Drosophila melanogaster: one gene and its partner. The protein of the gene in region 2 interacts with the protein of the main gene of each other region in a pairwise test. Each region holds a gene or a part of one and is shown on either strand. Other genes may lie near its edges.

What was found.
Region 1: the proteins of bin3 (region 2) and stw interact in a two-hybrid assay, tested with the Drosophila melanogaster proteins (one large-scale study listed by BioGRID).

The regions. Positions count from the first base shown.
Region 1 is NT_033778.4:5,412,151-5,415,907, reverse strand, and holds the start of stw (straw), read right to left. Parts: upstream 2,165-3,757; 5' UTR 1,957-2,164; coding exon 1,827-1,956; intron 1-1,826.
Region 2 is NT_033778.4:6,212,705-6,216,461, forward strand, and holds the start of bin3 (bicoid-interacting protein 3), read left to right. Parts: upstream 1-1,863; 5' UTR 1,864-2,047; intron 2,048-3,492; exon of another isoform or gene 3,493-3,757. Other genes in the region: Ttc7 (tetratricopeptide repeat domain 7), read right to left, coding at 1-454, 512-623, 765-1,047, 1,108-1,237.

The sequences.
Region 1 (3,757 bases), 800 kb from region 2:
ACATATACAATAAATTGAACTGGCTTTTCATTTTAGGAAGTTATGTACATGTATTTTTGAAAAAGGGTCAAAAATTCGATCACCTTCCTGAGTTTCATTTTTGACATATTATTGCTAAAATTGGATTTCAACACTTAAAACGTGTGTTTGATTAATGACATAAATCGCTAACACAGCTTCTAAAAGATGTGTAGATTAAAATTCAAAACAAAATTTCGATTGAAAGCGAAAAAACTTTTTTCAAGTGCGTTTCGGATATCTCTTTTTTTATCTGGTGTGTATTCTAAATCGAAAAGCAATGAAGCATAGATTATTTTTGTGAATTAATAAAAATTACAATCGGTTACAAAAAACTATGGAATAGTTTTTAAGAGATCATACCAAAAAATGATGGAAATGACGACCTCCGAATTGAAAACAGGAGTCAACTTTCATGACAAACGTACATAAATCTGCGAATATTATTATCCGAACATACATACATATCTGCTGATATTATTTTCCATGAAAATTGCAAAAAAAAAATTTTTAAGACTCACTCAAAATAGTTATACACTATTCTTAAAGTCTAAAAATTCTTACTTTTCTTTCTCAGCTAAAAAATTTACAAATAACTTTTACTAAATGGTCTGACAAAAGAAATCACTAGTATTTATCTAATATATCTTTATTTATGTTGGTTGTTAAATTCTTTTAGTTACATGCATATGTACATATGTAGTAAGTTAGAAACTATTAGCAAAGATCTTAATATGTTTTTTTAATGCTTTCCAATTTAAGACCGAAGTAAATAAATCCTGTTGTTTTACTTTAATCTTACAGAGTTTTCTTATTATCGGGGTTTCAACGATTTAAAAGTTTGAAGCTTGTTGAAGTGTTCGCACTTTCGTAATTTGTAGGGAGTAGCATGCTAACATCTGACAAGGTCAGCGATTCAGCAATTAAAAAGTTGAAGAAATACCATTATCAGTAAAATTAAAAAAGTATAACATTATTGCGCAAAGTAAGTGGTAGGCTAAACCAGTGTAAGCTTATGAAGGCTAAATATTTTGATTTCTTTATAAATTTGTTAACTTTAATATATATTGATGAAAAAGGCAATTTAAATAAAAAAAGTTTTAATAAATAACAAAAATAATGTCAGATACAAGCAAAATTTTGTGGTATAAGAAATATAGAAAAGAGCGATTAATATTGTAGTTTGTTTGTTTCGAAAATTTTACCTAAAGTGTAGGCAATTTTCCATTCCAGCCCGTCGTATGGGAAAATTTTAGAAAGTACGTTTATCTATCTACATTGGGTCCAATATGGCCAGTTCCCTAAATCTGTAGACTTGCACTGCTCTTTCTCCTAAACCATTCAATTTTTCTTTAGTTTGAATATTTATTCCCTTTCACTTTATTTGCACATACATATGTATTTAATTGTGTATAATTTTACTATTCTACTTCGTATGGGTTGAATAGGTAAAGACGGTATTTAAGTTTTAAAATGTTTTGATCCATATAATATATGGTTGGCCAAATAATCAACCTATAATTCTAATATATATATTCTTATGAAAACGATAACGGAAAGCAAGTGTGGCAAAACAACGTTTTGTCCTGCAAAACATTCCAATTAATTTACAGTAAAGATACCCAAAAGATCCCCCAAATCTTTGGAACACCCCTTGGAAATATAGTCATGTTTAGATGTATACGAGTATATACGTATTGCACTTAAATAATCATTTTAATGAAAGGAATATGTACTGTCGACAAATCACAAAATGATATTTCAAGACTTCTTAGGTGAAAAAAATTACCAAGATGGGATTTCCTTACCTTTCTTAGGTTGATTTTGCTGTGAGTTGGCAACACGTACTGCAAATACTTCAGGAAAATTGGAAAATGCACCCCATATCAGGAACGAAATAAAAGTTTGGTAAAATCCGTTAAGATCCATGGCTTTCATAGTTGTATGAATGGCGTATAATTTTATTTTTCACTATTCTTCTTGTATTTTTATTAATTCCTTTAAGCTATTTAACAATACTTTGGGTGGATGTTCACAACATAAGACTATATATTTTTAAAGTATGTGTACTAAGCAATAGCAACACCACCTGAATTGATTACGGCTTAATGAAGTACGAGCAACGCGTTTAAGCACCAAACTGAAGCGGTAGCTACATACGTACGACTATATAAAATGTTTAAGTAGAAAAGTTACTGCAAAACGAGCTTACGAATGAGCCAGGGAAAGGAATGGCTCAGTGAATCATGACATGGCTCAGAGAGCGCAAGAAATTGCAGCAGCCAACTTGATCACGATCTCAGAGCAAGTTGGTCGAGTCTAGAGCTGCCGCAACCTCACAAAAGCTTTACCAAAGCATAGAAAAAGAAAATGAAACGAAATATAACGGATCTTTATTGTATTGTTGTTGCCTAAATCATATGAAGGGAATGTTTTAAAGTTCAGACAAATAGATCTCAAATAAATGAATACTAAAGTGCTGTGCTGAGATTTTTGCATGTAGCTTTTACTTTTACTTATTAAAGGTTTACATATGTATAGGGCACCTTCAAAAAGTCAGCACATATATGCAAATTCTTAAACACGTTATAATATACTTGTTTAAAGTATTACTACTATTATAAACAAATGACATGTGTACAAAAATCAATTGAAAAGAATTGACGAAACTAAGAGGTATGCAACACATGACTACAAACATAAAATGCTAAATAAAATAGCGCACCGAAAGTGTAAATATAAATACATACGTAGAATATTAAAGCTAGTTAGTCGTTGGAGATGAATGCATGTTTCATTTTTTTTTATAAAAAGAATAAGAACAATTTATGATCAAATACAACAAAATTATAATTTTCTCTGTAATATTTTTAAATAATTGATACAGTGGATGCTTATCAAATAAGAACCAAAAACATATGTTATCAAAAAGTGTTTTAAAGTGAATAACGGCACTTTAAAATTATAAACAAGAAATGGAACATATTTTGTTATGTTTTGTTTTGATTATTCCAATGGTTATATCGTTTTCGTTCCGACTTCCAAAGTATATAATTAATAGGTAAGAATGTATATGTATAAAATAGAAGAGGAAGCACATAGATTTATAATTATACATAATATACGATACTAAATATATGAATATGTATGCATATGTACATACAGCTGCGGTTAAAATAATAGCACTACTGCAGATGGAAAGTTGATTTGCTAAAAAAAAATTATAAAATGTTTATTTTTTTTTAAGTCAGATTTCATGAATAATAAGTTCCATATGTTGGCTCTCTGAGCAAGAAATTTTTACTCTCTCAATGTAACGGTTCTTTTTGTTTTTGGGCACTTGCTGCAAAAGCGCGCGAAATGAGACGGTAACAAAAATAGCACTGACCACGTATTTGTTGAATAAAATTAATAGGAGTGATTTGGGATTTTTTTCGACAAATTTTGAAAAAAGGAGTTGTATTAAAGGTTTTAATTGAATTTGTTCCAAACGAAGACCAAAAATTCTCTAGTTATGGGTCGCGAAAAGCATTGTACCGTCGAAAAAAGAAATTTGATTAAAAACATGATCTCTGAATGTAAAACCTACGCTGAAATTGGTCGAATTGTCGGGTGTTCAAACAAAATGATCCACAATGCTGTTTGTCGAAAAGGACGAAACACGTGGAAGAAAGCCCTCAATGTCCAACGTGGAGATCAAGCGCTTGGTTCGGCAAAGCAAGAAGGAGCCTTTTAAGCC
Region 2 (3,757 bases):
ATCCTCCTCGCAGCGTCCCACCTCCAGATTTTCCGGTAAAAGGAGGCGAGTAAATCGTGCCCGAGACCCCTCTCAAAAGAACCTCAGCTAGCTGGCGGGCCAGCGTGAGGCGCAACGATTGAGTAGCCCTCGTTTCGATGGCGTTTAGCATGATTCGATACCGTTCAACGGCCTCTTGAAGCTTTTCCGTCTTAATAAGCACTATGGGTGCCCGTTGCAGGGCGGTCTCTAGGATGGCGCCCATCCTGCGGTTCATTTCCAGTCCACTTGGACCACTCGCCGGTATTGTACTGCTGATTGCAAAACTGCTGCTCGACGGCTGCACAGTAGAGGCGTTTACATTCAACGTAGAACCAGCTGTCGAGTTGTTGGACGAGCCACTGCTTCCACTAACGAGATCGTATTCCTGCAGATAGAGCAGCCCCAGATCAGATGCGCGCTCAAAACAGCTAATCTGGAGTAAGAAATTATTAAATCAGTTACGTTTTAAAACTGAAATCGAGGACTTTACCATTTCCGTGTCCTTTTCGGCCTTCTTAAACTTAGATGACGGCTTCGTAGTCTGCTGCTCCAGACACAATCCCTTGATGGCATACGATTCCGCAAGGATCTTCAGGCTGCGACTTTTATATATATGTAAGCAGAAGTGATAAGTTTTGCAAATTTGCTATTAATTAAGAGTTGATGTGTACATTCATCTTAATTTGCAAGTCCCCACGTAGTAGATGAGAACATTTTGATTAGAAAACCTTTTCCCAACTTACAGGGTCAGCTCCTTCTCGGCAAGCGTGTTGAGTTCTGCCTTGACGAAATTGTCTAGACTCTGCTCATACTCGCCGCAGGCAAAGCACAGCTTGGCCAGCAGCAAATAGGCGTCCAGGGCGATGCCCGCCTTCTGGCCACTCTCACCCAAAGCCAAGTGAAGGAAACGCCGGGCCTCCGCCAATCCAGACTTGGCGCGACCAAAATTTGAGTCTGACGCGAGAGCGTTTTCCTCCAGGTAACTCTCCAGACGAGCTTCCCCCACCAGAAAGTTGGCCAGGCACTCTGTTCCACGAAAGAAGGCAGTCATTCCAGGAGTACCGTCATCAGCGGAAATCTTCTTACCATTGTGCGGGGACCCGGTCTTCAGTTCATCCGTTAGCTCGATGACCCGGTGCCACTTGCCCTCGCTGCGACAGCTCTCAATCAGGGCCTCCACTTTGGTTGTGGTGTTACGCATGTTCTTGTTGGCCATATGTCCACTTCACGGATAATGTTGTCACTCTTTGCTTGCTGTGTGTGCCAGTGCGTGCCTGTGCTCGCTATAAAGCGGGTTCCTAAGAGCCTAAAGCGGATTCCTTCAAGACTAATCAAATTGTTTTGCAAACATTGGAGTTATCTGTTTTCTTCGCTCTTCTTCTTTCTCACATATGGCAGCATCTGTTATCGACAGCAACTATTATCGGTAGTCCCGCTAACAGCGTGCTGTAAAGCGATTTGTGTACCAGTGCTGTTAAGACATCTGTGGTCCGTCCCCTGTTAGCTGCTAACATGCTAACTCTCGGTCAGCTGTTCCATCTTTTTTTTTCCACAAGCGTGTGCAATCCATCAGAAGCTGTTCATATTGTTAATTGAATCGATAAGACCCAGTGTGGTAGCTCTTTCTTAAAAATATGAAACCTCTGCTCGCCAAATAGAACATTATCACATTATCCCTCATATTAGCAAGATGTCTTCATTTTATGTTGTTTTCTTACAACAGTTATGCATATGCATATGTACATACTATTATAAACTTCATTGTTTTTCGATTACTAATTTTTTCATTTTTAAAATTGGCAACACTGGTGGGCTCTGTTAACCGAGAATATATATAAAAATATGTTAGTTGTAAGTGTTTTCTTGCAGGAGACTGACGCACTTATTAGAGCTCCGCGAACGGAATCATATTTTACGGTTTTTTTTTTTTTTTATCAAGAGTGTGGCGAATTTAACGGCAACAACGAAACGAAAAGTGAAAACAAAGTTCAAGTCGCCACTGAGCAATCGTGGGGCTTTCTGGGCGGTAAGTGTTTTGTCCTTAAGATTCATTTTTGTTTTGTCTAAAGGCGCAGCACGTGTGGATTTGTGTGCACACTCAGCTGTTCCTAGGGTTTCTGTTTTTCGCGAGCACACACAAGTTAGCAATCAGTTGGAAAGCTATGAAGAAATGGAAGTAGTCCAGGCAGAGTATTTGGACAAGAGTAGTTTCTTAATTGTGTGTGTGTGCATAAACAAACGTTAAGTGCATTTCAACCTTCTAATAGGATATGGACCAGAAGAGTGGTCCCCGTATACCCTCTCTTATCGAGTTGACTTCCACTTTTGCTTTCAATTTTAGGAGCCATTTAAGCAATCAAATTTGTTTTTCCTGAGTGACCCCTCATGCCAACCGTTCTCGCAGTCATCGATAACTTTTATCGCGTGCCCCTCAGAAGTCAAAGTTAATTGCCAGTCTTTTATTTTTTTGCCCGGCCTTTTTGAGTTTTTGTTGCTTTTCGAATGTGCAATATTTCCATTTGCATTTCCATATACAAAATCTTAGGTAAAACATATATACAAATCAACACAAAACATCCATGTCAGATTCCAGGCTTTTGGCTCCTCTCATTCTTCAAATTTCTTGCCAATCTTTTAGGCTTCGGAGAGCATATTATTCACCCCAACCGAAGGAATTCGTCAAAAGCGGTGGTGGGGGTGGGCAGTTGGTTCCAGGGATAATAATGGTGGGGCGAACGGGTCGGATATGTGGGTTAGCAGTTCGATGCACAGTGGCTCTTTTACCCGAACTGCCAAAAAACAAATCAAACTGTCTTATGGAGCTGCTATAAGTATTAAATTAAAAATAGATTTTAATAGAAAAAGTAAAAATAGGAGTCCACTTCGAACGCTCCCCTGGTGCGCTTTGTCACAAAGTTAACACTTTCCTACAAAACACTATAAAGTGTAATTACGAACTAAATATTTTTTTCATTTTTTCTATCAAGACACTCATTTATTTGAGTATCATGGAAACCGTAGTCAAATTTAAACAAGCCAGAAGATGTTTAAATATATATACATAAATGTTTATATAGATTTGTTGAAAAGTAACAGATACAAGGAAGATTCGGCCACGAAGCTATTTTTTCCCAAATAAAATTCAAAATTAAAATTATTTTCTCATTTTCATGTCACTCCGAATATTAGCTAAAAGTGACATTAAAGGTATTACACGCATGTGGATTATGGTTACAGTGTCTTGTTCTATGAGTTTCCCGTTTATGGAAAGGAAAGTAAGCGCAAAACTGAAAAGTTGAAAAAAGGCGGCTTAACAATTTTAAAGTAGTGGGTGAATGGTTCCCGTTTGCATTCTTAACTTGATACACTTATAAAAACTTTCACTACAGTTTATAGAAAATGTATAAAATTTTAAAAGGAACTACCTTTTTAAAAGTAATTTTTTTCTTATCCTCTGAAAGAAATCAGGTTGCTACTTCCAAAATAGTTAATTACTATTATCTATAGCCATTATGAAGGAACTTATCTAGTAACAAGTTTATTGGTTTTAAGTATTTTGAATTTTCCTTATTTAGGCTATATCATTTTCTCTCAGTTTTTAGGGAGCTATATAAAATGTGCGTAGGACAAGTTAGAATATAAGATGGGTGAAATAGCCAAAAGACCGTTTGTTTCATTGTTCCTGCTGCATTGCCGCTGCAGTTTTTGTCCCGGCTGTTGTTGGTTTAGGTCCCGC